Saccharomyces cerevisiae S288C: one gene and its partners. The gene in region 1 interacts genetically with each later gene. Each region holds a gene or a part of one and is shown in the gene's direction. Other genes may lie near its edges. The genes, in order: RAD52, RPN10, RAD27 and RAD54.

Region 1 (8,026 bases):
AAAGGTCATATCATCCAAATCCCTCTCCGTAACATCGAAACTAGATGGCATGCGTGACATCTTGAACGTATAACTGTGATGTTATCGCTTCTAGTACCAGGAATTGAATTAATTCCGATAGGAAGCATTGCTTCCTCTTCTCTATACTTTTCTTTACTATTATTCTTGAAGCATAAAAGGGCCCTCCTTGATTCGCTACCCGGAAACGATAAAGGTAGCTTTTTGCTCTTTTTGCTCATATTAGGCCTCTACTAAAGCATTTGTGCGGTATTCCAATTTTTATTATTGTATTTATCTTACATGAAATGGGAGGAGGGGTGCTCCTCGGTTGAATTGTATTACGTAGCATTAGGGTTGCCTGAGGCGTACACTTCTAGAAACCAGTTCGCCAACTTGGCCACGTCTGCATCCAAATATACGTCGTTCAGAGCAACATTGTATTCAAGTACAATCTCCATAAAAGCACTGGTGGACAGCTGATAAAGAACACTGATCATGTCAGTAGTGTCTTTCATGCTATCTTCGTCTTCACTGTCTTGTTGTACTCTATCTTGGGCTGTCCTTTGTGTTTGGAAGGCAGTGTATGCCATCGATTCCGGATCCCAATCGGCAAATTCACCCAGTGCACAGATGGACCTCTCCAAAGTCTTAAGAATATCCCCAACGGATGCAATGATACCGCCTTTTGGATCTTCTGTCTTTGATCGGATCAGCAGTCCTGTCAGTGCTACCACACTATTTGCGTGGCATATGGGCAATGGAACCAGCTTCTCAGCTTGCCTTTTCTTGGAAATGGACCATATGTCAATTATCGAGATTTGGGCTTTGTTGGAGCCATTTGGTAATAGTCTGTAATTGTCGCTTTCATCAGATGATTGTCTTTCTGCGTAGGAAGGGAAAATAAACGACATTATAGAATTTTTCAGTTTTTTTAACATCAGACGCATAGCGGTCATAAATGTTGTTTCGTGGGTGAAAATAGAGCCGTTAAAAGTTTGTGTCGTTTCATCTAAATCGTTGTCGTAATACGAGGACCTATGCCTTTTCTTGTTTCCGCGGTTAAGCAATACACTATCGTCAGTTCTTACCCTCAGCCTGTTTGGTGATTCATCTAATAAGCCGTTATCCCGTAATGGCGCCATCATAGAGGGTCGGTTCCCAAAGAGTCTTTCGTTGGCGCTTGTTAGTTTCCCGTTCTCATACATATAATCTAGATTTTCTACTTTTTTTTTATGTCTAGCAGTTGCAGAGCCCCCAAGATCTTGTACTGATCTTAGGTACTGCACAACCTTTTCATTGTTTATCTGAATGGTCTTCAAGCATTCATTGAGGATTAATGACCAAGTATTACCACTACTGCTTCTGAACTTGGAGTGATATATTGGTGCTCGCAATGATGGATCCAGTGAAGTGGCCCTATACGCTAGTTCCTGGTAGGCAGTCAACCTAGTAAATGGCTTGTCTGCAGAAAGCCCACTAAGCAGGGTTTCCATCGGCGTCGACGACAAATTCGAAATTAGCTTGCCCTTGTGCAGACAACCTATGGACATATGTGCGTCAAATGCTATATTTATGAATTCGAAAGTGATGAAGATAATGCAGGAGATTATTAGTAAATTTGTGACAGCTAGCACGCCATTCGTAAATGAATCAAATAATCCCGATTTTTGCCTGGAAAAAAATACTGTGGTAAAGATTGGTAATACGAACATGCTGATTACACTTAGAATGACTGACTTCTCCATAATCCTCTTGACACGCTCTAATACGTAGTCTTGTGGGGCCTGGAAAAAGTTTTCGCAGTTGAACGACAATTTGTCAGCGTCAGTGACATGATGTTGTAGGTTGTAAATCGTGGGAACGACTAGCCAAATAAACAGCTTATAGTATGGCTTCCATCCAGATCCGCCACGTCCGAAAACCACACCCAGTACGAATGATAAAAGGATGCTGCCCATGCTATAGACTCCCTGGTATACAAGAAACTTTACTGATAACAATTGGCCTAGAATGAAAGTAAGTGAATTAGCGAACCCAAAATTCTTTACATGCATGTAATTTTTTCTTGTCACAATGATCAAAAGGGAAACTAGGTTAAGAGCTAAAATATTGGGAATAAATGCCAATGCCAGTTCCCATAACGGTGAGTGTGGCAACGCCAGCAGTGAAATCACCACAGTTTGGATAATAGAACATATGAAAAACAACCTCGTAACTAAATGGTTGAATCGGGTCTTGCACACGTCGCTAAAGATGGTATGGTACGTGTACCGTGGATTCAACAACTCCCTTGGCGTCTGTATCATCTGCTTGCCCTGTAATGTCCTTTCGTCTTCTCAATCACACTTACTCATCGCCAAAGAGTCTGCTCTTCCCGTTAGTGATTCTCGATGTTATTATATTCTTTAGTCTGTTAAGAAAAGACGAAAAATATAGCGGCGGGCGGGTTACGCGACCGGTATCGAATGGCGTTTTTAAGCTATTTTGCCACTGAGAATCAACAAATGCAAACAAGGAGGTTGCCAAGAACTGCTGAAGGTTCTGGTGGCTTTGGTGTGTTGTTGATGAATGAAATTATGGATATGGATGAGAAGAAGCCCGTTTTCGGTAACCATTCCGAGGACATACAGACCAAATTGGACAAGAAATTAGGACCTGAGTATATCTCCAAGAGAGTTGGGTTTGGAACAAGCAGGATTGCATACATCGAAGGTTGGAGAGTAATTAATCTTGCTAATCAAATCTTTGGATATAATGGCTGGTCTACGGAGGTAAAAAGTGTAGTTATCGATTTTTTGGATGAGCGACAGGGAAAGTTTAGCATAGGGTGTACTGCAATTGTTCGTGTTACGTTGACTAGCGGGACTTATAGGGAAGATATTGGGTATGGTACCGTGGAGAACGAAAGACGGAAACCTGCCGCTTTCGAAAGGGCCAAGAAATCTGCCGTTACGGATGCCTTGAAAAGATCTTTGAGAGGGTTTGGTAATGCTCTAGGAAATTGTCTTTACGATAAAGATTTTCTGGCAAAGATCGATAAGGTGAAGTTCGATCCGCCAGATTTTGACGAAAACAATTTGTTTAGGCCAACGGATGAAATCAGCGAAAGCTCAAGAACGAATACTTTGCATGAAAATCAAGAACAACAACAATACCCGAATAAAAGAAGGCAATTGACTAAAGTTACAAATACCAATCCCGACTCGACGAAGAACCTGGTGAAAATAGAAAATACAGTAAGTCGAGGTACCCCAATGATGGCCGCACCTGCTGAGGCTAACAGTAAAAACAGCAGTAATAAAGATACTGATCTCAAATCTCTCGATGCTTCCAAACAGGATCAAGATGACCTTCTCGATGATTCTCTTATGTTTAGCGATGATTTTCAAGACGACGACTTGATAAATATGGGCAACACAAACAGTAATGTTTTAACGACAGAGAAGGATCCCGTTGTAGCTAAGCAAAGCCCAACTGCTAGCTCAAACCCAGAGGCAGAACAAATCACCTTTGTTACAGCTAAGGCTGCAACTTCCGTACAAAATGAACGTTATATTGGTGAAGAGAGCATTTTTGATCCCAAATACCAGGCACAATCCATTAGGCACACCGTTGATCAGACTACGTCCAAGCATATTCCAGCGAGTGTGCTAAAAGACAAAACGATGACCACCGCGAGGGATTCTGTCTATGAAAAATTTGCACCAAAGGGAAAACAATTGAGCATGAAGAACAATGATAAAGAACTGGGGCCTCATATGCTAGAAGGGGCTGGGAATCAAGTACCGCGTGAAACCACACCAATTAAAACGAACGCTACAGCTTTTCCGCCTGCAGCTGCTCCACGGTTTGCGCCGCCTTCTAAGGTAGTACATCCTAATGGAAATGGTGCAGTGCCAGCCGTTCCGCAACAAAGATCGACACGAAGAGAAGTTGGAAGACCAAAGATCAATCCCCTGCATGCACGCAAGCCTACTTGAAACGCTTCCTGGCCGAAACAAATAAAAAATTTGCATCATTATTTATTACTCCAAAATCCTCTAGTTACTCTTTCAATTCTGATTTTATTTGTATTTCTTCCTATATCGTCTAGTTTTTCTTTCCTCCATGTGTCGTATTAATATTTACTTTAAATCGAATAAAAAATTCTTATTATTTTACAAGTCATTTTCAGGATTAGATTCATTATAACTTTACAAAAGTATTACATAAAGAATTATATAACAGATATTAGGATAACCGTATAAATAGAATAAACTATACAAATATGGCAACTCGGAAAAACAATAGATCATTAAGTTTGAGAAGAGAAAACTACGTTTGAGTTTCATTTTGTGGGTTATATTTTGTTTTCAGCGGAATCCTTAGGTTCATTGAGTTCCATCGGACCTATCCATTCCCAACATTTCATTATTTCACCTCGAATTTCAGTTAAGTTCGATTTAATATTACTGTTATTATGCTCTAAATATTTTACCACTTCTGACCATAATTGATTTTTGTATTTCAGATCGACAATATCAGAAAGAAAGATGTCACGCAATTGAACTATGCTCAAATACGCGTTTTCTTTCGGATCGGACATTGATTTAATCTTTTGGAATTTCAATTTTTCCATGGTTTGAGTAACGAGTTCTTCAATTCTTGCCTTCTTTCTATAATAATTCTTCAGCTTGATCTCGATTACTTTACTAATGACTATCAGTAAAAACATTAGCCATATTGGCCTTTGAAATTTTTTATACGTTTGGTAGATTTCTCTTTCAAATCGACACTTCATTCCAATGTATTTCTTGGACGTCGACCGAAAATTCCTCGTCTTGGAGATGAATTTTTCTGGAAGATGTCTCTTCTGTCTCGGAACGTCATTGGTTTTAATGATGTTGTTGGAATTTCCGCCAATGTTGTTGTCAGTGGGTGATAACTAGAGAAAATTAGGAAAAGATGTTAGTAAATAAATCAAAAACAAAAAAAAATTCAAAAAAAATTAAAACTGTTATCATATAATAACAGGTTTAATAATTTTTGTAAGATAATAAATTGTACTCACTTGCCTCCATAATATTTCTGGTTCTTCAGTTAAATCTTTGATAACTTGGATCCACAGGTCCTCAAATTCATCGTCGCGAATCCAAGGAGCTCTAGCCTCATTAAATATTTGATAGAGGGCATCTTCCGTCATACCACTCTCGATGTCGTCTTTTCCGTCACCGCATGAAATTTGTGCATTTTTGGCTCTCAGAAACTCTAAAGATTTTTCAACCACTTCGGAAACTAACTGCTGTTTTTTGTCGTCTTTAACACATTTGCCTTGTGCAGGAATAATTTCCAAAAAGTCAAGTCTAGATGGTGCTAACTTGTAATCTGGCTTACATTTAAGTTTCAAATAAGGATAACAAATACCATTGGGTGGACAAGGGATACATTTCGGTCTGTAGTCCTGCAACAAATTATCCAGTTTTTGAATAAACTCGAAGGAATTGCCACTAACTCGATGGGATGGTACTTCATGCCCACAGTAACCTATGAGCAGTCTTTGCTCTCTATACCAGAGGCCAAATAAGAGAGGAATAACAATGAATATGCAAAATAAAAATAGCGCCAGTAATGATTTGCTCAAAAATTTGAGTGCTCTTTTGAACTTATGCCTGTTCCCGACCTTCCCAGATCCTTGCTTAACATCAAATTCACTCCCATTTTCATGCTCTAATTGCTCATTTACTTCCTCTTGAAGTTCTTGCACTCTTGCTTCACACTTTTCGACGTCTTTCTCTGTGGGTAATTGGGGAGTCTCGATCCTTGTAGGCACTAAAACTTCATCTTCATCCGATACCAAGTTACTACTATCTGTATCTATCATTTCGACCACATTATTGCTGGTATTACCCATAGGCTGATGAGGACCTGGCGTGGTGATCTCTGGAAGCAAGGGTGCTTCCGACTCTGAGCCAGAGCCTTCGGACGAAAACAAAGACGGTGTTCTTTCACTCTGAGAAGGTTCTTGCTGTTCCACTTCTGGAACCAGTATTGTAGATGGTACCTCCTTTTGAGGCAATTTATCCGCAAATGAGGCAGAAACTTTTAACTTACTCAAGGGTGTGCTATGGCCTGTTCCATTGGCAGTTCCGAGCTCTTTTGGATTGTGTCGTATGTTCGGTACAAATGGATCATTTTCCGTACCGCTTGAAGTCAACGAATCGTTAAAATTATCCATGCTTACTGGCTTTCTATTTGTGTTCTTTATTGGTGTTTTGACGGAAAGTTTTCCTAAAATGGCAGAGCCATTTCCATGCTCTTGGTTCAAATCACTCGTCTTACGCTTTTTTGCCTTCTGGTAATCCTGTTCAATTTCTGAATCTGATGATAGGAGGTTCAAATGCTTATTATCGATTTTATTTTCCTTTGAATTAGATTCAGACCAGTCGTCAGAATCAGGGTCTTTCCTTTTCTTACGAGTATCGGAATTTTGCTGGAAATCATTGGTGTCTGATTTGTTGGAGCTTGATGTTATCACATCATCCTCTTCATCGTCCACTTCATCGGTATCCGTTCCACTAGGTACAATTAAAGGATCGTCTTTTTTATCATTGTCATCATCATCATCATCATCATCATCATCATCATTACTTACATCATCCAGTATTCTATTCTTCTTAAACTGTTTGGCCATGGGGGAAGCAGATTTCTCCCTGCGAGCTCGTCTACTTCTACGAGGGGAAGCTATAGATGGGGAAGATGAGGGACGGTCCATTTTCACAATACCTTCATCGCTGGGCCGAACGTTCAGATACATTTTCCGTAACTGCGGGATCTGCGGTTTAACCTTTTCATCGAACAGCCCCACCAGCGCATTTTTCCTAGCATTAGATGGGAAATCGACATTATTTTCTACCAATATCCTCCTCAAAGTCGCAACTTTCATTGAATTCGGATCAAAACCGTCCTCTAAATACTCCAAGTCACTATTCATCGCGGCACTAACTGAGTACTGCTACCGTTCTACTGTTTGTTGTTCTGGCCTCTACGTTCACTCCGTATGGTCTCAGTCTACTATTAATAATGACTGAGGACTATTTCTCTTCCATGTATTCCGCATAGTATATTGACAGCTATACAAGTAGATCGATGTCCAGATTAGCCACCACAAATTGAAACCAAAACAAAAACAAAGGGGGCTTCCTAAAACAGTAATTTTGAGGGCTCTTTAAAACCCTTGATTTCCGTTCAGGGTGATCAATATATATATCCTAGTTATTTTATAGATGCCCTAACTTTATTTTTAGGGCACGTGGGGGTCTTCTCTTTTCTTTTTTCATTCCTTTTTCATCTTTTTTTTGCGCCTGGCGATGATGAGAAAGGAGTTCTAGTAGCACAAGGTTTAAAGGATATTATCAAAAAATAGATAAATTTTAAAAAAAAAAAAAAGGCATCTCTTGACGACTTTTCTTCTCTCTCTCTACAGGCAGAATTAGCAGCGTTTCTCGTATACTAGTCAATTATCGGATATTAATAGTATTTTTATTATAGTCTCCCTGCTATAGCCAATTTTGATTCAGCAAAACTCGATTGAACTGCTAGTACGCCAGATTAATAAATTATATAACAAATAAAAAGGGGGCATTCTAAAAAAAATTATGGACAATCAGGCTACACAGAGGCTTAACGACCTTTCTCTAGAACCAGCTCCTTCACACGATGAACAAGATGGTTCAGGACTAGTCATTGACATAGATCAAAGAAAGATTGGTGATGAACAAGCTGGTGTCGTAGTGGATGATGAGACACCCCCCTTAGAGCAGCAAGATTCACACGAAAGTTTAGCTGCTGATTCTCGGAATGCTAATTTCTCGTATCACGAGAATCAGCAGTTGTTGGAAAATGGCACCAAACAGTTGGCCCTAGATGAGCATGATTCTCACTCTGCCATCTTGGAGCAACCATCGCATTCTACCAATTGTAGCTCTTCCAACATAGCAGCGATGAATAAGGGCCATGACTCGGCAGACCATGCATCTCAAAATTCCGG
Region 2 (7,282 bases), on another chromosome or scaffold:
AAGACCCAAGGCATAGACCTTGAACCTCAAAAACGTGACGTGCCTTTGACCATATCCCAGTAATTTAAAAGTTGTAGAGACAGGGAAATTTAAAGCAGTAATCGTTAGTGGGAAATCTGATACGCTAGAGTCTACCTGTATCGATTCAGTATGAGAAGGAAAAGCATCAGTTTTATCGTCATTTTGTACCGGACGATCACGGTAGTATAACGAAGTAGCGAGCAATGTTGACGCCGCAAACCAGGGCCAATAGTGGAACGTCGAATTAGAACGCCCAGGGTATTTAGTGGCTCGTATACTAGTAAAATTTCTTTTGAAACATTGCCAATGGTTGGTTGATGGAGATTTCTGACATTTAGCTAGTGTTCGCTGGAGTGATTTTAGCATATTGGCGCACCTTCCTCTGTCCATGAAGGGATTCTATCGCGGTTGTAACGCCGTAAGAGTTTTGAATTGATTTTTTCTTGTCAAAACCGAATAGCATTGTAAACATTTTGAGGGGTCCCTCCTAGAAAAATTGAGTCGAAAGGAAACTCAAAAAAACATCATTAGAGTATATGTGCAGCTTTTGGAACAGCGTATGTATTATGTAATTGTATGTAGAAGTCGGCGAAAGTGTCCTAAGATAGAGAGACGAGTGCATCGATTACTTCCTTCCTAGCCTCCGGAGAAGGAGGATCCACAGCAGCTAGGTAGTGGGCAAATAAGAGCTTTCCAATAAGGGGTTCCTTCACTGTGCCCAATATCACAAATTCATCCTTCTTTCTTGCGTAGTAAGACAAATTCATAGAGCAGTCCTTATTCAGCTCAATGAAAAAATCATCATCTCGAGCCACAAGTCCTTTTACGCTCCTGAAACAGTCATGCAATTCTTGGAATCCAGCTTCCAGCCGGTCTTTGTCTTGAGACTGAGAATCTGGGTTCTTTAGGACGCTCTTTTTGGTGCCGTCCATCAATAACTTGAAGGAACCTGCTTTTATCGGAGTATTCTTGGACATTAGTCTGATTCCGCTGTCTAAGAGGTTATTAATCAGGATAGGGGCCTTAGCAGGATCGTTCAAAGCCGCACGCAAATTATCCTGATGTGAGTTTTCCGGTGATGGGGGTGCCGCAGTGTCGATGAACGCCTGAGACAGGAACTTTGAGTCCAGTACTTCAGAGACCAGATGTTTGTCTTCAGCGGCCACATATATGCCCAGACCATATGCTTTGAAAGTGATCGATGAGACACAACGTACACCCTTACCAATCAGCTCATATTGCGTGGAGAAGGGCCACTGTGGGGGGCCCATCTTCTTAGGGAACGCAGAGATGGATGCGTCCACTGCAACGCTGGTGGCATCCGCCTTTTTGATCTGGGAATCGTCATACCATTTCTTCGCGAATATGGATGCCAGTGCTAACCCTGTTAACACAGGCACTACTTTGCTGCCCTTCTTGTTCACACGAGCATTGCCCGCTGTAGTAGAGTAGTGAGAATACCATTGTGGGGCCCTCCTCATACCTACCTCTAGGCAATTTGTTTTCACCAAAACTTTACTGATTAAACGCATGTTTCCATATACCTGGCCTTCTGCTAAGTAGACATGTATTCAACAAGGGGATGTAACCACACGCTGCTTTAATACCAACAAATCGGCCGCTGATTAGTAATAGGTGCATCATTGCGAATACCGAGAAAGGGTCCATTATACGAACTAATCATTCTATACGGCGTCCTTCCTGTTCAAGCACCTCTCTGATTAGTTCCTTTGATTGAGGCGCTGATGTTGCATCAGGCTGCTGGAGCAGATTTAGTTTCTTTAACGTCTCCTCTTTAATATTTTCGATCAGTTTTTCTGTTGTTTCCACTGAGGTTGTGTTAGTAATTAGTGCGGGTGAAGGTTGGGGGTAGAGTGTTGCGGTGAGGTGACATACGTTCCAGCTGCATTCGATGTAGTATTGCGCTGCGCAACTTCTGCCGTTCTTCGGGAGTGAGAGCCGGTATCATCGTAACCGAGTGCGGCAGCTGCCCTTTTGCTGATGTTGTTGCCACTTCTTGTTTACAATTGTATTCTCTTGAAGTTATATGGCATTATAGCTGCCGGGTTATTTCCGCCAGGCGGGTTTTCGCCACCGGAATTTACAACTAAATACACACTTATATCAGACTTTTAAAGCGTAAAGAAAGAAGGGAAAAGTCAATAAATAACTCAGCAGTAACCGCACAATGGTATTGGAAGCTACAGTGTTAGTGATTGATAATTCAGAGTACTCTCGCAATGGCGACTTTCCTAGGACAAGGTTTGAAGCCCAGATCGACTCGGTAGAGTTCATATTTCAAGCCAAGAGAAACAGCAATCCTGAGAATACAGTGGGTCTTATCTCTGGTGCTGGCGCCAACCCCAGGGTGTTATCTACGTTTACCGCCGAGTTTGGGAAGATTCTTGCTGGACTACACGACACGCAGATCGAGGGTAAGCTGCATATGGCCACTGCGTTGCAGATCGCTCAGCTGACTTTGAAGCATCGCCAGAATAAGGTCCAACATCAAAGGATTGTGGCATTTGTGTGTAGCCCAATAAGTGATTCTCGAGACGAATTGATCAGATTGGCAAAAACACTGAAAAAGAATAATGTTGCCGTGGACATCATCAATTTTGGAGAGATTGAACAGAACACGGAGCTTTTGGATGAGTTCATAGCTGCAGTGAACAACCCTCAAGAAGAAACTAGTCATTTGCTTACTGTGACGCCTGGCCCCAGACTGCTGTACGAGAACATCGCATCTTCACCCATAATTCTCGAAGAAGGATCCTCCGGTATGGGCGCCTTTGGTGGGTCTGGCGGTGATTCCGATGCCAATGGCACATTTATGGACTTCGGGGTAGACCCATCAATGGACCCAGAACTGGCAATGGCCTTGCGTCTGTCTATGGAAGAAGAGCAGCAAAGACAGGAAAGGTTAAGACAGCAGCAACAACAACAAGATCAGCCTGAGCAGTCTGAACAGCCTGAACAACACCAAGACAAATAGTAGTGTACAAAAATATCTATATGGGTCATATATAAACCAAATAAAGCATATATAACATCTCCCTTCACTCTTCCAGGTTTGAGTACGCTTCCTCTAAATAGGGGACGACTTGCTTTCTGGTGGCCTCGACGTTCAGTTGCTTAAACATCGCCACACCTCCATCAAGATTGCCCCCAAATAATTGAAGTTGGAGCTTGTCGCTAACCCTTTCAATGAGTTCACGTACCACGTTAGAGTCTCCCAATATGACCAATTCTCTGTGTGAATCACCAGCTTTCCTCCATGAAGTCAACAGAACCAATACATCGAGCCCCCTCTCCGCCTGAAATCTTCTGCATTGGTTGACGAAATCTGCTTCACCACCGTGTTCATTGAATAGCCAAGACATTCTTTTTACTATTGATGAAAGACCAATCTCTAACCCTTTGTGTCCCTTTCCTTGGAAATTGAATTGTTTGTAGTCCTTCTTTAGAATATCGCTTACCGAAAATCCTTTAATATCGTTCTTTCTTGATTTTATCTCTTTATAAAACTCACTGCTGTCCTCTAAACCTTGCGCAGACACTTCATTAACCGCACCACTAAGAACAGCTTGGCATCTCTCGATAGCTAATTTATCACTTTCCTCGACTTTGCGCCTCATATTTGAAGTGTCTATTAAGATGGCCCCCATCAAAAGTGGTGCAATGTTCATCACCACTTCACGGTCACCTTGCAATTTTTCATACCAGTAGTTAAAAACCAGCGATGAGCAACTGCCGGACACTTTTACAATCCGAGGTTCAGCATCCAAATGTTTTTGCAAGTCAAAATGGTGGTCTATAATGCCAACGACGTTATCTATATAATTTTTCAAATTCTTTGGTGTATCGTTATTATCTACCAAGTAAGAGTTTAATTCAGTACCCTGGGAGACATTTTGCTTCAAGCTCTTTAAATCTTCAATGAAGAATAATTCCTCCTCCTTAATTTTCAGTTTTTCTAGGACATACATTACGTCTCTTCTTAAACTGAGGTCTTCTCTAGGAATGTCGATAATTGGGACAATAAAGCTTCCTTTCTTTTTCTCCTCCGAGTAAGTACCTTCATTATATATGTATTGGCAGTACGAATAAGTGATTGCACTAGCAATTGAGTCCATATCTGCTGACTCGTTACCAACACATATTGTTAACACATCGTTGCTTGCAATTTTTGAAATTGGCAGTGATTTTAAGTGTGCCAAAAATTCAGGAACCGTCTTTCTCAAAGGCGACATCTTTCTTAACAATCGGTGTTTTGAACTTTTTGATTATTTGTTTCAAGTGGCTTTAGTTAATTATGTACACTTCGTTTCTTTTTTCTACTCTTAAAAGTGAAAAAAATGAAAAATCAGCGGCATGTATAGCATACAGATAATAGGAAAAAGGTTGTGAGTTATTCTTCGAGACTATTTCGACTCGTATTCTAAATTAGAATTCAAGTAGGTGGATAATGTGACAAAATGAATGAAGGTTAGAGCTTTACACAGAGTATTATCCTCGGCGTTTTCTATCAAAGCTTCTGGTTATTCCATACTTTTTTCAAGGACAGCAGAAACATATGCCATTTTACACCTCCTGGGAAAATAATTTGTAATTTTCTAGTGACTCAATGCTTGTTGAAAGTGATCTTGTATAATGAGTGTACACATGAGATGTGCAAATTTCTTCATTACTTAGCGAGAAGTGTACACTCTTGAATATAATAACACTAACAGTGGAATCATCGGTAATAATAATACTATTGATCGTAGTGAAAGCAAAACACGACTGTACTTGAGTTATAAATTTTGTTGCTGTAGAAATTTCAGTGATCATTCATTAGCAACTTATTAAGATGACGATTATATTTTACGGTTCTTTTCACAAACCATTATACTTGCTAAAGGTTGTAAAAGTCATACACTTTTTAACATCAAGATTTCAGTACAACAATTTCTTACATGTAAAATCGTTTGCAAATTAAGTTCGCCAAATTGTATCTTAATTAAAATCTATGTGTTCAGAAGTTGAATATTGGTAAAAAGAAACAAAATGTATAAACGAACGAAAAAGGAAGTGATCAAAATAGAGTAAGGAACCAAGGCATTAGGTTCACCCGAACGTTATCATATATACGCTCATATTATTCCAAGAAAGACACATTTGTCTAGATAGGTTTCGGTAAAGGCGTCCGTAGTTAGAGAGTAGATGGCACTAACTTGAAAGCAGGAAAACAAACAATTGTGTTCCAGAGCAAACTCGAACTTTCTATCTGAACCATTGCATGACGTAAAATTATTATTACAACCATAATGAAACATTTCTACAGTATATCTTTAATATTATTTTTTACTTTAGTGTCCTTATCGATCAGTCGCTCTTTCGCCAACTAGCCGCCAATTGCAAAAGCCGATAAGCTTATTTCCCCTCAAGCCGTCAACAAGAACTACAGCAATAACAAAGAGAGTGAATGCAATAAAGGTGTGCGCAACAGTGTAAAATGATACTAAAGCTTGTACACTGTTTAGTTGCTCTTACAGGATTAATCTTTGCAAAGCCGTATCAACAACAACAGGCAGTTTTAGCGCCGTCGCAGGATGTACCATTAAGAGATATCCATATAGGGGATATAAATTTTATCCATACAACCGATACTCATGGCTGGTTGGGGTCCCATCTATCACAAAACGACTATGATGCTGACTGGGGAGATTTCGTTGCATTTGTAGATATACTTAGAGAAAAAATTTTACGACAGTCCAGAGACGTAATAGTCATCGACACTGGCGACAAACGAGACGGTAATGGTTTGAGTGATGCTACTTGGCCCCCCGGCCTACGAAGCTCGGAGATATTCAACATGATGGATTACGATCTTTTAACGTTAGGTAATCATGAGCTATATACAGCTGAAAGTGCCATACTAGAGTATAGAGGAACTTCTCAGTCCTCAAAATTCAAAGACAAATATGTTTGCAGCAACGTAGAATTTATTGAAGATGACGGAACAAGGGTTCCTTTCGGGAATAAATACATTACATTCGAGACTCCCATAATGAAACAAAGAGTCCTGGCATTATCATTTTTGTTTAGTTTTCAAAGAGCAAATAACAGAGCCATCGTAACACCACCATTGGAAGAAATAACTCAAAAAAGCTGGTTCCAAAATATGGTTGAGACAAACAGAGAGGAGGAAATCGACCTAATTATTGTCTTTGGTCATTTGCCTGCCACTGACCCTACAGAGCGTGAAATGCACAAAATTCATGCTCTAATAAGGAAATACTACCCAAATACTGTTATACAATATTTTGGAGGGCACACTCATATCAGGGATTTTGTACAGCTGGACTCAAAATCTACTTGTTTACAAAGTGGTAGATTTGCGGAAACTGTGGGATTCTTGTCAATTAATATGACTGACCCTGTGGACGCCGAAAGTCCTATTTTCTCAAGAAGGTATATTGACTTTAACAAGGAAGCTTTCAAATACCATTTGAGCAAACTAGGGCATGACTCGAATGTTCCAGTCTCAACGAAAAAGGGTAAAACTATTTCTCGTTTGGTGAATGATCTGCGCCATGAACTAAATTTGAACGAGAAACTGGGGTACATTCCTCAAACTTACTACGTTTCAACAAGGCCATTAAACTCCGAAGAGAATCTTTATCATTTGATCACGCATAAGATTTTACCCAATTTAATTCCTCCCAAAAACTATGAACCTTCGATGAGTCGTTTCATTTTGATTAACACTGGCTCTGTCAGGTACGATCTTTACAAAGGCCCATTTACAAAGGATACTGAGTATATAGTGATGCCATTCAATAATGATTGGCGCTTCATCACAGTTCCATTGGTCGTTGCCTCCAGGGTGGAAACCTATTTGAACAAGGGCCCTGTCATTGCCTCATTAGGAATACCATCATCGTCTCATCACAAACAGCATTTTGGCGGTTTTCAGAAGTGTCCCTTCATCAATAATCCAAATTTAAGCGAAGGCTACACCACAGAAGACGATTTCGGGTGTCATGGTGATGACACACCTCACAATTCACAAAGAGAATACGATATCCCCAATGTAGTGCAATGTAAAGAGGTGAAGAAAGTGCAAGAAGAGGAAGCTGATCCGTCGAAGATGGTTCATGTTATCTTCTATTCCTTTATGGAACTCGATATATTAAACGCCGTAAATTCTATCATAAATGATTTAGGATTACGTATGGAGAACTTGACCACCAATGACTGCTCCCATTATGGTGGT
Region 3 (7,769 bases), on another chromosome or scaffold:
GACTCATATCCAGAAGCATATTTATATAAGGAAATATTAGTTGCAAATCATTATGTCATTCCTTTCGCACACCCGATATGCTAAAAACAGCATACATGCACACTGCGCTTGGCTTGGACATATTCTCTCTGCATATGATGGAAAAAAAATCTTTTTTTTTCTTTTTCTTTGACTTTTTGCCGTTTTGTCATCGTCATCGCGATGGAAAAAGAAATGAAGAATACTTGATGAACAGGTGAAACTTGAACAATAACGTATCAGAATGAGGGTAAAGGGACCTTGTAAAACTTTTGAAAAAACTAAACAGGCAATTTAGTAAGAAGATGCCACTGGTGCTTTTTACGGGATACCCATGTAGTGGTAAGACAACGCTTGCTAAACATTTGGTACAACTACTACAGTCCAAGATCGATGCAACCCCATCATTAAGTAAATATTCCATAACCTATCATTCAGATGAATCTTTAGGCATAAAACATTCAGATTATATAACTTCCCAAGATGAAAGAAAATTGAGGTCGGAGATCATCTCCGCAGTGAAAAGAGATCTATCTAAAAACAAGATAGTCATTGTAGACTCGTTGAATTATATCAAGGGTTTCCGGTATCAACTTCACTGCGAGGTGAAAAATTTGTCCACCACATTTTGTGTAATTCAAACACTGTGTCCACCAGAGACTATATTCGAGTGGAATAAGACTTCAAACCCGAACCCTTGGGAACCCGAGTTATTGAATCAATTGATTCAACGATACGAAGAGCCTAACTCAAGCAACCGATGGGACTCTCCACTCTTTGCTATTCTTACTCCTCAGGACAACATAACTGACTACATCGACGATATTTGTAAAGTAGTCTTTCAAACTTCCAAATCGGCTAAAAACAGTGGACACAATGATCCGTTGAGTAAGGGCTTACAAAAACCGAACTCAGCCACGGTACTAAAGCCTGCGTCTCAGTCCAATTTCATCCAGGTTCTCGACATCGAAACTAGTAAGATAATAAAAACCATAATGAACCACATCAAAAGCCTGACTTCTATTGGCGGGGTAAGTAACGGAACAAGAGTCATTGTTTCCGAAGGGATTACCGATATCAATGATGATGGTTGCTTCTTCGTAGACTTGCCCATTGGTAACGTCGTTACGTTGGCGCAATTGCAGAGATTGAAAAGGCAATTCATTAACTTCAACAAACTAAGAGATATAGATCAAGATAGGATCGGTCCGCTTTTCGCTGATTATCTTAACAAAAACTTGAATTGAGATATACATGTGATTAATATCAGAAGGTAAATGGCAAGACGAAATTTGCTTGTTTATAATACAAAAAAACATACATAAGATATAATATATATTTCAATAGAAAAGAAAAAGTATAGAAAAGTGAATAAACAAAAGAAACATGAGAAAAATAGCTCGTCTTCTCAACTGGGTATCTATTGACCTCTTAATTCTGGTTGAATGTTTTCATCAGAAAGGTCTTCTTCATCATCGGCTTTCCCTATTAGTCCAGCAACATCTTCTTCATCGTGATGAGGTTGGCTATGATGGTTATTATGATGAGTTGTGTTCTTATTATACTGCGATTCTACATCCACGTCCACCATTACATCGTCTACGTCATCATCATTATTCTGGTGTAGATTCTCTACCTCTTTCAAATGCGATGACAGTAACCTTAACTGTTCCGCCACTTCATGTGGTAGTTTGTCGTCTTCATTTCTCTCTTCCAGTGTGATATCTGACAAATGCTGTCTTTTGGACTTGTGAGCATCTTCTGAATCCATATCGTTGATCAAGTTTTCATCTACCACGTTTCTCGACGAATTGTTATGGCCATCACCATTCTTGTCATCAATGGACCTCTTATAAGAATTGATCTTGTCTATGGCTAACTGAGCAGTTTCACGAGCTTCTTGAGCGTCTACTTCAGCCAAGGTTGGGTGGACATTTTCATTACCGCCATCGTTTGATTCATCTAGGCCAACCATGGACACGTCTGAATGAGTTATTTGATCTGGCTTGCTCCATTTATTGACGCTTGGCATCTTCTTGGGTTGATACCGGTGACTAGAGGTTTTATCTAGCACACTTTCCATTAAATTTGAGGCGTCATTATTATTGTTGCCGTTATTATCGTCATTACTGTCATTCTTGTTATTATTCACATTTTTGGTTGTGTTCGATGAGGTACCCGCACTTGATATTTCCTGATGTTTGGCGTAGTCGATAGAGTTACTTCTCAAGTTCGTGCCAGAAAGCTCACCATCGTTGTTATTGTTGTTATTGGAAGATGAAGAAGGTTGTAAATCATTATACTCGCCCATTTTTTTCTTTTTCAAAACAAATCTTGCTTTATACGTCGTTATACGTCTGGCTATTTGGGAAAGTAACCTTTTTTCGAAATCTTCGGCGGTTAATCCATATCTTTGCATTAAAATGTCTAAAAGACCGGACTCCTCCACGTAATGAGAAACTTTAAATTTACTCACTGTATGGTTAGAATTATTGTAAGAGCTTTCTAGTATTTGATCAAACTTTAAATCGTTTTGTAAAATCTTTGGAATCTTAGTTAGGATAAATTTACCCAGTGACAAGTTATCTTCTAGTGGGTGACTATGATAGGGCTCAATTTTGGTAACGACAAATGGGCCCGGTATATCATCGGTAGCAGAATTGAAGACGTCTAAATTCATAGACGTGTCTCGTATGGAGGATGGTGAGTGGGAGGAAATGCCGTGGCTACCGACATTGTTGTTATTGATATTGCTGTTATTGTTGTGATCGTTATTAGTATTATTATCTTGGCCATCATTGTTGTTAGTGGCATCATCGTCTTTTCCATCGTGCTTATTGTTTGATTGAGAATCTACATTTGCGACGGCATTGGCAATGGCAACGTTGATGTCTTCATCGTTCACTACGTCAGAATAGTTTTTCGTCATTTGGGTATGGACGTCATCCTCCTCGTTGTGACGGTGGTTACCGCTGTCATTACCATGAGTAGGACCGCTCTCGTCGTCCAATCCCCGGTCAATAGAGGCCTTATTTATCGAATCATCTTCAGTGTCGTTCTTGATAGTAACACCTTGCTGTTTAAAAATGTTGTTGGCATCAGCATCATCGTCATTGTTCCCATTCACCTCATTGCTTCTCGACTCCACTTTGTCATTGGTGTCGTCCGGATGAGTGTTCGCCAGATGGTATTCAAGATCATCAGTAACGAAGTCAAGTTTACTGTCATTGCTAACCTTATTATTACTGCCATTGTTATTATCATTGTCCTCGTTGTTCATGTTGTTGCTATGATGATGAATATGATCAGGAGTACCCGGAGGGTTGGTATTATTATTTGCAGAAGGAGATGAGGTTTCTGAGGATGCAGCATTGCCAGCATAGCTTAGCAAGACTTTAAATGGACAGTTTTTCAAATGACAGGCAAATGTAAAATGTTTGTTCCTATGCGAATTCTTTAAAATAATAGGGCAACGCGTCTGAAATTCGTACTCATTAATTACATCATACCAAGCACCCAAGGTGGGAAATTTTTTGCCTCCATGGGCTCCAATGGCCAGGTCTTTATTAATTATAGGGTGCTTGTATTCATAATAATTCACGACTAATTTGTCCATCCTTGTGAAATTGCAAATATGGTGATTTGAAACGTTTCCTAGTGCAGCAGGATCACAGATAACGTGTAAAGGGCTTAGCAGTTGATAATCCTCTCTAGTTGAGATCTAAACAAAATGCTGTCACTAACCGTAGTATTAAATGACACACTTTGGTGACTTTCGTTAATGGGGATGTGGTAGTGGCCATTGCCAATAAACAAAAAGAACAGGGAAAGAAGTAGAAAGTGATATAAGTTTGCTTGCCACTTTTCGTTTTTCACGAAAAAAACAGGCGAAAAAAAATGCTAGACTAGTACCCGGCTGAATCACACCTCGTTAACAGTGACTTTCGGTGACAGATACCCGATTGGGCACCCGGCTGGTAAGTTATGATAGAAAGCCAACGCTGTACTATTGGCTTAGCTATGGCAATATTTTGATTATCAACTAGTTTTATTAACGTTATAATTAGTGTAACCAGTTTTTCATCTATTTCATTTATTTCATTTATTTACTTTAATTGCAGATCCCCCTAACGCGTTTAAAGCTTTTATTCACTAGCTTATGTATTTTTTATAGGAAACGCGACGCGTAACATCGCGCAAATGAAGGTTTTGATGTATTATAATGAGGTATTCTTCCTTATATACATCGATGAAAAGCGTTGACAGCATACATTGGAAAGAAATAGGAAACGGACACCGGAAGAAAAAATATGGGTATTAAAGGTTTGAATGCAATTATATCGGAACATGTTCCCTCTGCTATCAGGAAAAGCGATATCAAGAGCTTTTTTGGCAGAAAGGTTGCCATCGATGCCTCTATGTCTCTATATCAGTTTTTAATTGCTGTAAGACAGCAAGACGGTGGGCAGTTGACCAATGAAGCCGGTGAAACAACGTCACACTTGATGGGTATGTTTTATAGGACACTGAGAATGATTGATAACGGTATCAAGCCTTGTTATGTCTTCGACGGCAAACCTCCAGATTTGAAATCTCATGAGTTGACAAAGCGGTCTTCAAGAAGGGTGGAAACAGAAAAAAAACTGGCAGAGGCAACAACAGAATTGGAAAAGATGAAGCAAGAAAGAAGATTGGTGAAGGTCTCAAAAGAGCATAATGAAGAAGCCCAAAAATTACTAGGACTAATGGGAATCCCATATATAATAGCGCCAACGGAAGCTGAGGCTCAATGTGCTGAGTTGGCAAAGAAGGGAAAGGTGTATGCCGCAGCAAGTGAAGATATGGACACACTCTGTTATAGAACACCCTTCTTGTTGAGACATTTGACTTTTTCAGAGGCCAAGAAGGAACCGATTCACGAAATAGATACTGAATTAGTTTTGAGAGGACTCGACTTGACAATAGAGCAGTTTGTTGATCTTTGCATAATGCTTGGTTGTGACTACTGTGAAAGCATCAGAGGTGTTGGTCCAGTGACAGCCTTAAAATTGATAAAAACGCATGGATCCATCGAAAAAATCGTGGAGTTTATTGAATCTGGGGAGTCAAACAACACTAAATGGAAAATCCCAGAAGACTGGCCTTACAAACAAGCAAGAATGCTGTTTCTTGACCCTGAAGTTATAGATGGTAACGAAATAAACTTGAAATGGTCGCCACCAAAGGAGAAGGAACTTATCGAGTATTTATGTGATGATAAGAAATTCAGTGAAGAAAGAGTTAAATCTGGTATATCAAGATTGAAAAAAGGCTTGAAATCTGGCATTCAGGGTAGGTTAGATGGGTTCTTCCAAGTGGTGCCTAAGACAAAGGAACAGCTGGCTGCTGCGGCGAAAAGAGCACAAGAAAATAAAAAATTGAACAAAAATAAGAATAAAGTCACAAAGGGAAGAAGATGAGGGGGTTCTTTTTCCACTTTCTTCTTTTGGTCCTTCACCTTGGCATATATGTAACATAGATATTTGTATACACGAACTTTTTTCATCTAATACTTCTCTTTTTTTGCCAGTTTTTCTGGGAACTTGAACGTGGAATTTTTCATTCTTACCTGGTTTCTTTTTCTTCATTTCTTTACATGTTGGAAATCATTGTAAATATAAGATGACAAACTCCGAATAAGAAACACAAAACGCAACATTAATAAGCTTTTGGCATATCGGAACCATCGTAATGCCTTCGACACCTAGCTTTGTTAGATCTGCTGTCTCGAAATACAAATTTGGTGCGCACATGTCAGGTGCCGGTGGAATTTCTAATAGTGTAACTAATGCATTTAACACTGGCTGTAATTCGTTTGCCATGTTTTTAAAATCTCCAAGAAAGTGGGTTTCTCCGCAGTATACACAGGAGGAAATAGATAAATTTAAGAAAAACTGTGCAACTTACAATTATAACCCATTGACGGACGTCTTACCGCATGGCCAATACTTTATTAATTTGGCTAATCCGGATAGGGAAAAGGCAGAAAAGAGTTATGAGTCATTCATGGACGATCTGAACAGGTGTGAGCAATTAGGGATAGGCCTGTATAACTTACATCCAGGTTCTACTTTGAAAGGAGACCATCAGTTGCAGTTAAAACAACTAGCCTCATATTTGAACAAAGCAATTAAGGAAACGAAATTTGTTAAAATTGTATTAGAAAATATGGCTGGTACTGGAAATTTAGTAGGAAGTTCTCTGGTAGATTTGAAGGAGGTTATTGGAATGATTGAAGATAAATCAAGAATCGGCGTTTGCATAGATACATGCCATACATTTGCAGCAGGCTACGATATCAGCACCACTGAAACGTTTAACAATTTTTGGAAAGAGTTCAATGATGTAATAGGGTTCAAATATCTAAGTGCTGTTCACTTAAATGATTCCAAGGCTCCTTTAGGAGCAAATAGAGATTTGCATGAACGCTTGGGTCAAGGTTATTTGGGTATAGATGTGTTTAGAATGATCGCGCACTCTGAATACCTGCAGGGTATCCCTATTGTCTTGGAAACTCCATACGAAAATGATGAAGGCTATGGTAATGAAATCAAACTTATGGAGTGGTTGGAATCAAAGAGTGAGAGCGAATTGTTAGAAGACAAGGAGTATAAAGAAAAAAATGATACGCTGCAGAAATTAGGTGCTAAATCGCGTAAGGAACAGTTAGACAAGTTTGAGGTTAAACAAAAGAAGCGAGCTGGGGGCACCAAGAGGAAGAAAGCCACTGCAGAGCCAAGCGATAATGATATCTTGTCACAAATGACAAAGAAGAGGAAGACTAAGAAAGAATAATGAGAAGCGAGAAGAATTTTAAATACGTAATCAATTTTTGTAGATTATCTCAACGTACGTAACTAAATGCTACCCTTCGTCATCCAAGATGCTGTTGCCCATTTCATAGAAACTACTTACTTGGTTTATAGATGTTTCGCGTTGCGTTACAGAATAAGGCAGCCTTTTTTTTTTTTAGATTTTCATTTTTCACATACTGATGGATTAGCAGACGAAAAGGGTAAAGTTAAATACATTCCAGTAAATGAACTAAGAAGGCTGAGCACACCATCCTCTTATGGAACGTTATTCCTAAGCATAGAAAGTTTTTTACTTGTAATCTTCAACGCGGGGTGTGTTCTTTATCTTTTTTTTCTTTTTTACACAATTAGACAAGTATATTTTGAGATAGTAATCACATCTACGCTTCGAATTCATCCATACCCACAGCAGCTGTTAGGTTATACCGACAATGGATGAATATAGTAGTATATATTCACAACCAAAGACTCCTCGGTTGAAACAAGAAGGATTTCCCGACTCCATTGGCGATCAACACGAAAAGGCATTGATTGATGAAAATGGTGAGGAAGATAAAAAAATGGCATCCACTGAAGGGACCACTGGTGATTCTCGCAGTACACCTTTGACTGTATCTATTCCGACGTTTGAAAATGTCCAAGCATTACCTACACCGATGACCTACACTCCGTTATCCCCAGGCAATCTGTCAATGTCACCTATAGATCAATCCTCGTTGAATATACCCAAAAGACGAAGTCATGCACGATTACTGGATGATATGCTTTCTGTTACACAACCAAACCAAAGAGTTGTTTCTGAACTTATTGCACCAGCTAATTTATCCCCCCAAAGGGTTGTTTCCTTACCAACAGTGACTGAAGAGGCTTTAGTAAATGATTCTGTTGATAGTGATA
Region 4 (9,193 bases), on another chromosome or scaffold:
ATTAGAAGTTTCTGGCGACGAGATATGGAAAATGTAGTTTTTAAATAACACGTCTACAATATAAGGAAGGAAAAGTCAAAATATTTTAGCGCCTTTAAGTGCGGTTGAGACCCCATAGTAGTATCCCTACAAATAATAGTTAAACTGTATTTTCAATACATAACGTAACAGTATATCGGTATTACGGAGCAGCGATCAATTAAACGCTATTTACCCGGCTGTGTATTATACCTAATTTCTCAAGCAGTGAAAATGTATCAACGTCCTACGCTCAAGGTAAAAGGGGCCAAGGGCAGCGACCACATTGGATCCAAACGCATTGGTTCTGTAGTTCTTTTTTACGCTTCATCCACGATTGTATACTAGCAAATAGGATTGACTCGACAAAAGCAGAAAAATGCCGTCCAATAATAGCAGTTTTTTAGATATTGACGATGATCTCGAGGGTGTAGATGATTTTGGCAACGAGCCCAACCCATTTGATGATGCCACCGTACCTGATAGCCCAAACATGAATAACTCGACTGCTGGAAAGGGTAGCGAATTTTATAACACAACGGGCAGTAAGGCAGAATCCGCACCATTACAGGGTCAAATGGACCCACCAGCGTACGACCAAGTGATAGGACAGAATGACAACGACGGTCTTGGGCGTAATGGATTGAGGCCAGGATTGATAAACTACTATTCTAAATACTTCCAGATCGATTTGACGCAGTTCAAAAAGAGATTGTCCGCGGTACTGACGTTTAGAAACGATCATAATTCCGAAAGTAACGAAGATAACACTGATTTATACGGTGCTGTATGGATCACTGCCACGGTGGTAATGATCAATTTTACCATGAGTAGGGGGTTAAATTTTATTATCAGTGACGTAATTGAGGGCGTCAAGACTGGTGAGGACATCGACAGGGCCAGTCAGTTTAAGAAGCTACTGCATTCTATTTGGCTATTTTACGGGTACACGTTCGGCGTACCATTTATTACCATGCAAGTATTGAATAGAGATGAGCACTCGGAGCGCAATAGAAGCTTCAAAAGTGTTCCTGAATTGATTTCCGTTTACGGGTACGCTAACTTGATCTGGATACCCGTTTGTGTTATATTGAATATATTGGATATGTCCAAGCGCCTGAGGACTGTTCAAGCAATTCAATGGGCAATTGTGGCTCTTGGGTGGGCACAGTCGTCTTATTTCTTGAATTCTCAAATATCGAGTAATAATAATACGGAGACACAATCGAACGGGAAATTTTCGCTGTCCATCATCGTTGTCGTTGCGCTGCATACTTTATTCTGTCTATTGTTCAGGTTTATAATATTTTGAAAATATGCGCACGTCTATACACACAATACTTTTTATGACTAGTATCATTGTATACTCTTATTATGTAGGGTTATACATGAGTGTTTATACGTTTTCTGTGTGTACATATATATCCATATATGTTAATGCTAAATGCAAGTTTTGTGATGCTATTCATTAGAGATGCCTTTGTCTAAAAATCAATGCTTTTATAGTCATCATAGGTTATGTCGTAAATGGTTTTATCCTTAAATTTTAAGGAGATTTTGGATGAAATGTTTATGTCAGCTCTGGTAAAGCCTTTTGAAAAAGTACATTTATCATTTTTTGGGAAATTAGTGGAAGAAGAAGAATGCTTTTTCTTAATGCATGGTAAACAAGGTGTGAGCAAAACCAACTTATCAATATGCTTAATCAACTTGCGTGAGCCTGTACCCTCAATGACATCATCCGGTATGGCAATATTCCGCAACAGCGTGCCTCGATATAGCCGAATATCGTCAGGAGTCAAGACGTACCGCAACTTGTTCGAGATCATTGGCATTATAGTATCGTCTTGAAGCAAAATCTCAATTTTCGCATTACATTTTATTTTTTTCAAACGACATTTGTCACAACTTGGGCCACTTCTTTGTCTCTTGGAAATTGAACTAGTAGATGTGGCAGAGGAGGTTGTCGAGTTGCTCGTTGAGCGCGAAATTATAGACATTTGAGTGCATGACGCATTAGCGTCTTCATTGACCATGGAAGCAAGAGCATGAGGATGATACTCAAACAATGGTGGAGTGTAATTTTGTGGAGGGGGAACAATCGCACTTACGGGGAGCGTTGGCGGCGGCGTCACCGTGGCAATACCAATAGCGCACTCATTACTGTCAGCGGCAGCAGGCTTTAATCTCTTATAGCCTCCTAAAAGCTCGTCAGTCGGAAAAGCCCGCTTCCTCGTCCAAGTGGTCGACAAGAGTTCTGGATCGGTGATGCCCACATTTTGGGTGCCTTTACGCCGTATATCTTTTTCTAGCAGGGAAACATTGGGGAGCAATAGCGGTGGTAGCGATCGATCTCTATTTCTTACTGTAATGCTTGTGGACATCTTCTTTTGACATACGATGACCTCAATGATTTAGATTATGTGTTGCACTTTTATAGACCTACCAAAAATCCAGTGCGTACACTAATACTTTCATAAAGATACCTGAAACAATAACCAGAAAGATCGGCAAAAAAATTTTTTTTCTTTGCCGAGATCACAAACCTACTATGACGAAAAAGCTTGAAGTTTAGATGAGTAAGGAAAATACAAGTGACGCTTTTATATGGTGCAAGGAACAAAAACTAAAAACAACAAGGCAAATGTGGATCTGTCATGTATGGCAACGACAGCAGGATGGCTCACAAAAAAAGACAAAAAAAACTAAGGCAAAAGAACAAAGCTCCTCTCCTGCTCAAGAAACGTATTGTTGAAAAACCACCGTCGTAAGAAAGTTTTTCTGTGACCTATAATGGTTTAAAATCGGCCCATTTTTTTTCCCTCTTTTGTGGTCCAGTCTTTCTCATACTCGAGGGAAATTCGACACAAACAGCGGAGAAGTGTGGCTAAACCGGCAAGTGCCTGCAAGATCCACAGAACTAACCGCACGAACTGGCGGTCAGAAAAGAGCCTGTTCCGGAAAGAGAGAAACAGAGAAACGATCATGATGGGAAAGCGGGGATTCGGCGAAGAACGAGACTGGAAAGGGAAAAAGAGAAATACTGGTGGAAGTATTCGGACCTTTGGCGAAGTCCGAACCCTTGAAACCCAAAGATGATCGATGATTCATTTTTCAATGCGCTACGGTTCCTGCCGCTCGTGGGAACCCCACGCAAAACATATTATTCGCTTCTCTCTGCTGACAACTCCGGTTTACGTTATACCGTATTAGGATCACTATAAGGGTTCCTTCGGGAGGAGGGGGGAGGGGAAGAATGTACATCGTCATAAGGCCTTTATGGTGTGAAGTGGGTTTTGCGTGGAAAATTCGTTTTCAATGATATAGAGCCCACGCATATACGTACATACTAGTGGCCAAAAGCGTGGGGTGGGCGGACAAAGCTACACTGGTAAAATACAGGATTCTATGAACAATAACAACAACCAGCTCACGTTGCTGAACAGCCGAGGTCAGCCGATGCAACCGAGGTTTCCAAAGTAGCATTTCTGTGCTAGCTATGTCTGTAGGTTTACATTTAATGGTGCGTGGTTCCAGCTTCATGTGCTTGCATGTGATGTCCTGCAGATGGTAAGAAGATTCTGAAAGCCGCGCTAGGAGAAAAATATTCTGCTCGAAGATCTGTCCTCTTAAGTAGAAAGCGTGAAATTGTTGCGTTCTTGCATTACTACTCAACGCGTACGCAAATGCGTCTACTGCACCTGCATGATAAAGCTTATGTATCAAAAATTTAACATCTTGAAAATACACAAGTGGTGCAAAGATGTGTCACGTTCTGGACCTGAGTGGTGCCATGTATGCTATTTAACATGCAAAGGGGAAGACCCTTCCGCCTTACTGCAATAATAAAAAGTATTTTACGCGTTACCCAATATAGCAAAGTTTCGCGCAAAAAAAAAAATAAAAAACAATTACAAACAAAAAGAAAAAAAAGGAAATAATAGAAGATCTAACTGAAGCGAAGGCCAAAACTCTTCTCACTTGACGTAATAGCCGATACAAAATCTAGAGCAGCAACTTTTCTCTTTCTTCACTAAAGCTGCTACGAAAGTATAGAAAAATCAAACGCTCAGAACTTAGCTCTATTTCAAGGTACCATATATATTTCCTTATAACTGATGGCAAGACGCAGATTACCAGACAGACCACCAAATGGAATAGGAGCCGGTGAACGGCCGAGACTGGTACCTAGGCCTATTAACGTACAAGACTCGGTGAACCGACTAACGAAACCGTTCAGGGTCCCGTACAAGAACACGCACATCCCGCCCGCTGCTGGTAGAATCGCCACCGGGTCTGATAATATCGTAGGAGGAAGGAGCTTGAGGAAAAGATCAGCGACTGTATGTTATTCCGGCTTGGATATAAATGCGGACGAAGCAGAGTACAACAGCCAAGACATAAGTTTTTCTCAGTTGACTAAACGACGGAAGGATGCTCTTAGTGCTCAAAGGTTGGCCAAGGATCCGACAAGACTGAGTCATATCCAGTACACTTTGAGAAGATCTTTCACTGTGCCAATCAAGGGATATGTACAAAGACACAGTCTGCCATTAACGTTAGGAATGAAAAAAAAAATTACTCCAGAACCTCGACCTCTACATGACCCTACAGACGAATTTGCCATAGTGCTTTATGACCCGTCCGTTGACGGTGAAATGATTGTCCATGACACATCTATGGATAACAAGGAAGAAGAATCAAAGAAAATGATCAAAAGCACACAGGAAAAGGATAATATTAACAAGGAAAAGAATAGCCAGGAAGAAAGACCCACACAAAGAATAGGACGCCATCCAGCTTTGATGACAAATGGTGTGAGAAACAAACCGTTACGTGAGCTACTCGGTGATTCGGAAAACTCTGCGGAAAACAAGAAGAAATTTGCTAGTGTCCCTGTGGTTATTGATCCAAAACTGGCCAAGATTTTAAGACCCCATCAAGTCGAAGGGGTGAGATTCTTATACCGTTGTGTCACAGGGCTTGTCATGAAAGATTACTTAGAAGCTGAGGCGTTCAACACTTCAAGCGAAGATCCCTTAAAGAGCGACGAGAAGGCACTTACTGAATCTCAAAAGACTGAACAAAACAATAGAGGGGCCTACGGCTGCATCATGGCCGATGAAATGGGGCTGGGTAAGACATTGCAGTGTATAGCACTTATGTGGACATTATTAAGACAGGGCCCGCAGGGTAAAAGACTTATCGACAAATGTATCATTGTTTGTCCATCTTCTTTAGTCAACAACTGGGCTAATGAATTGATAAAATGGTTGGGTCCCAATACTCTAACTCCGTTAGCGGTTGATGGGAAAAAATCTTCAATGGGTGGTGGTAATACAACAGTTTCGCAAGCTATTCATGCCTGGGCTCAGGCACAGGGAAGAAATATTGTTAAGCCCGTTTTAATCATATCGTATGAAACATTACGTCGAAATGTTGATCAATTGAAAAACTGCAATGTGGGTTTAATGCTGGCAGATGAAGGGCACCGTTTGAAAAACGGTGACTCTTTAACATTCACAGCTTTGGATAGCATCAGTTGTCCTAGAAGAGTTATATTATCTGGTACACCCATTCAAAACGATCTTTCCGAATATTTTGCTCTACTGAGTTTTTCGAATCCTGGCTTATTAGGTTCCAGAGCAGAATTTAGGAAAAATTTTGAGAATCCAATTTTGCGAGGGCGTGATGCTGATGCTACTGATAAAGAAATCACAAAGGGCGAGGCGCAATTACAGAAGCTATCTACCATTGTCTCCAAATTTATTATCCGTCGTACTAACGATATTTTGGCCAAATATTTGCCTTGCAAGTATGAGCACGTTATTTTCGTAAACTTGAAGCCGTTGCAGAACGAGCTCTACAATAAATTAATTAAGTCAAGAGAAGTGAAAAAAGTAGTAAAAGGTGTTGGTGGGTCTCAGCCCCTGAGGGCTATTGGTATTTTAAAGAAGCTATGTAATCACCCTAATCTCTTGAATTTTGAAGATGAATTTGACGATGAAGATGATTTGGAACTACCTGACGATTATAATATGCCGGGTTCAAAAGCCAGGGACGTACAAACAAAATATTCAGCTAAATTTTCCATTTTGGAAAGATTTCTCCATAAGATAAAGACCGAATCCGATGATAAGATTGTTTTGATCTCCAACTATACCCAAACCTTGGACCTCATTGAAAAAATGTGTAGATATAAGCACTACAGTGCTGTACGGTTGGATGGTACAATGTCAATTAACAAAAGACAAAAATTGGTGGATAGGTTCAACGATCCTGAAGGCCAAGAGTTCATCTTCCTCTTAAGTTCTAAAGCAGGTGGGTGTGGTATCAATTTGATTGGTGCAAATCGATTAATTTTGATGGATCCGGATTGGAATCCTGCTGCTGATCAACAAGCTTTGGCACGTGTTTGGAGAGACGGTCAAAAAAAGGATTGTTTCATTTACAGATTCATATCGACTGGTACCATAGAGGAAAAAATCTTTCAAAGACAATCTATGAAAATGAGTTTGAGTTCATGCGTGGTCGATGCGAAAGAAGACGTTGAAAGGTTGTTTAGTTCTGACAATTTAAGACAGTTGTTTCAAAAAAATGAGAATACGATATGTGAAACACACGAAACATACCATTGTAAACGTTGTAATGCTCAGGGTAAACAATTAAAGAGAGCCCCTGCAATGTTATATGGTGATGCGACAACTTGGAATCATTTGAACCATGACGCATTGGAAAAAACAAATGATCATCTACTAAAAAACGAGCATCATTACAATGATATCAGTTTTGCATTTCAATATATTTCACATTGATCTCTTACATACATGTACTTATAAAACAAAAACAAAAAGTAGAATTCGATCGTCGGGGGGTCATTACATATTTATTTTAAATGATGGGCATGGTTATATATATTTAGACGTAATAAACAATTGAAAATTGGGGCCAAATTGGTAAATATCTCTATGTATTTCAATCAAAAAAGTATAATCGTATAACTTAAGGGTAAAAAAAGTTGAGCGATGTCATATTATACTTGTGCTAGCTTTTAAATTTTTCATTATCTTCAGTTTTATCGTGGTAAAGTGCCAGCCGAAACTGCCAAAAAAGATTATGGCAAGAAAATCTCACGCTGTCAGGGAAATAAAAATCTGATACAGTTTCACACTCTCAGAAGGATTAACTTTAACTATTACCTAACACCAATATCTGAAGAGAATGGATGAAATTCTTGCCAAAGCAGGTTCACAAGCCGTTACATTTGCTATAAAATCCGGAATATCGATAGCATCCACATATGCGCTAAAGACAATAACGAACTTTGTCGTCCAGATTCCTAAGGATGATGCTAGAAGAATAGATCAACTGAAATTTAAACTGGAAAGCCGCATGGCTATTGTATCCAGTGCAATTGACCTAATAAAGCTGGTAGCGGCGAGGGGAAACACGAATTTGCAAATCACTCTGAGGTTAACCAAGGATTTAAAAGAAGAGATTGATAGGTTTGATGAGAAGATCAACGAAATGACGCAGAAAGTTGAGGGTTCCAGGAGCGCAAAAACACAGAATGAAGCTATTAAAGCGGTAGAAAACTATATAAAGGACTTGCTATTGAGGATCGAAGAAATCACTCCATTCATTAATCTTTCTTTAACCACTTCTGGTGCCAACTTGAACAGCGCACTCCCATATCAACTTTCTCCTGGTTTATTATTAAAAGCCTCCGATTTCGTTAGCGAGAACAATAGAAAGTATGAAAAGGCAATGAAGAGTAATGAGAAAGGAACAGGTGACAAGGAGATTCTAAAAGTTCAAGTGGGGCCTACATTTGAGGTTACACTATTCTCTATTTTCTATAACCTAACTTCAGAAAACAATGGGCAATCAGGAATTGTTTGGAAAGAGGATATGAAACGTGCAAAAGCAAGGATATATAGATTGAACTCTACAGGCAGAAAGTATGATTATTTTATGAAAATAGAACAAGACTTCAATGACGGTAGATATCATGAGGATGATGACAAAGAAGACACACCACAGGAACTTGCCATAGATCTGAACCATATTAAGAAGCTGTTTTTCAGTGTTTCCGGTAAGCTTCTCCGATTAGAAGAACAGGATTCTCCAGTGTTGGTATTGAAGATTGACCGGAGCGATGACAAAGAAAATGAGAGCAGTGAAGGAGACAAGGGATTACTCGATGACATTACTTGGTATGCGGTAAGCGGATATGAAGCGATAGAGGAAGATGAAGAGGAAGATGAAGAGGAGGACGAAGAGGAAGGAAAAGACGGAGAAGAACGAAAGGAAGAAGAAGAAGAAGAAAATAAATTGGAGGACAAGGATTCGTCGATCACACTACTGGAGTACATCATTCGGCTGACGTCCTTACAAAGTAACGATCAGAAAAGTATATTGGAAGTGAGTGATGAAAGGTTATCTATATATTTGAACGATGAAAATACGAACTCCAGAAAGGATAGAATAAGCAATTCGACAATTGAAGAGACAGAAAAAAAGTTAAAAAACCTAAAACTTTAGGATGGTTACGTATCCTGTGCAGCCTTGGACAAATTTTATAATTGTATATATCTATGTATATGTATACGAATGGAAAAATTTATCCGAATCTCGGCCCGACTGCCAGCTTGCCGGGAGAACAAACAACCGCCAATATATGTATATGTATATTTATATAGATGTCCAGATGCATTATTGTGAATGTGAGTTATGCGAAGATACTTGTTTGTATAGCTCGTTCAACTCATTGATGGAGAATGGAATGTCAATATCGTTTAGTGCTGTGTTCGTAGTTGTATATGCGCTTCCTGTTTCATTGATACTAACAGGTTCCATAGATATACTAGGGCTTTGCTCAAGCGGATCGAGGGAAGCCAAATCAAGATTGTCAATGCTGTCGGCCTTAATTTCTCCGTTTTGCAGAGGTGGCTTCAAACTCGGCAATGTGGTTGTCATGTCTACATCCGACGAGCGACCATTTAGGCCCAAAAGAACGTCCAGATCTGCAATACCGAGACCATTGACATGCGCTGCTTCATCATTTGCCCTTCTGTGGCATGACCCTCCCTTTGATTTCCGGCTGCTTTTCCTCTTGGTATGACATTTACAAGGTTCACCCTCATCACAACGACATCGTGTTTCATCTTCCTTG

What was found.
Region 2: mutations in RAD52 (region 1) and RPN10 together harm fitness more than expected from each alone (negative genetic interaction), as found in Saccharomyces cerevisiae (5 studies listed by BioGRID, with this or other methods).
Region 3: mutations in RAD52 (region 1) and RAD27 are lethal when combined (synthetic lethality), as found in Saccharomyces cerevisiae (13 studies listed by BioGRID, with this or other methods).
Region 4: mutations in RAD52 (region 1) and RAD54 together harm fitness less than expected from each alone (positive genetic interaction), as found in Saccharomyces cerevisiae (9 studies listed by BioGRID, with this or other methods).

The regions. Positions count from the first base shown.
Region 1 is NC_001145.3:208,469-216,494, reverse strand, and holds RAD52 (recombinase RAD52), read left to right. Parts: upstream 1-2,564; coding exon 2,565-3,980; downstream 3,981-8,026. Other genes in the region: respiratory supercomplex assembly factor RCF1, read right to left, coding at 1-60; NDC1 (Ndc1p), read right to left, coding at 339-2,306; SRC1 (Src1p), read right to left, coding at 4,340-4,924, 5,051-6,970; AMD1 (AMP deaminase), read left to right, coding at 7,635-8,026. UniProt on the Saccharomyces cerevisiae protein: Involved in DNA double-strand break (DSB) repair and recombination. Promotes the annealing of complementary single-stranded DNA and by stimulation of the RAD51 recombinase.
Region 2 is NC_001140.6:496,870-504,151, forward strand, and holds RPN10 (proteasome regulatory particle base subunit RPN10), read left to right. Parts: upstream 1-2,209; coding exon 2,210-3,016; downstream 3,017-7,282. Other genes in the region: AIM18 (Aim18p), read right to left, coding at 1-411; AIM46 (Aim46p), read right to left, coding at 621-1,553; NBL1 (borealin), read right to left, coding at 1,702-1,850, 1,918-1,990; PPX1 (exopolyphosphatase), read right to left, coding at 3,081-4,274; SMN1 (Smn1p), read left to right, coding at 5,519-7,282. UniProt on the Saccharomyces cerevisiae protein: Multiubiquitin binding protein.
Region 3 is NC_001143.9:222,435-230,203, reverse strand, and holds RAD27 (multifunctional nuclease RAD27), read left to right. Parts: upstream 1-4,328; coding exon 4,329-5,477; downstream 5,478-7,769. Other genes in the region: KTI12 (Kti12p), read left to right, coding at 324-1,265; DNA-binding protein ABF1, read right to left, coding at 1,439-3,634; DNA-(apurinic or apyrimidinic site) lyase APN1, read left to right, coding at 5,749-6,852; serine/threonine protein kinase PRR1, read left to right, coding at 7,304-7,769. UniProt on the Saccharomyces cerevisiae protein: Structure-specific nuclease with 5'-flap endonuclease and 5'-3' exonuclease activities involved in DNA replication and repair.
Region 4 is NC_001139.9:191,347-200,539, reverse strand, and holds RAD54 (DNA-dependent ATPase RAD54), read left to right. Parts: upstream 1-4,136; coding exon 4,137-6,833; downstream 6,834-9,193. Other genes in the region: YIP5 (Yip5p), read left to right, coding at 398-1,330; SUT1 (Sut1p), read right to left, coding at 1,503-2,402; YRB30 (Yrb30p), read left to right, coding at 7,240-8,562; CUP2 (Cup2p), read right to left, coding at 8,734-9,193. UniProt on the Saccharomyces cerevisiae protein: Plays an essential role in homologous recombination (HR) which is a major pathway for repairing DNA double-strand breaks (DSBs), single-stranded DNA (ssDNA) gaps, and stalled or collapsed replication forks.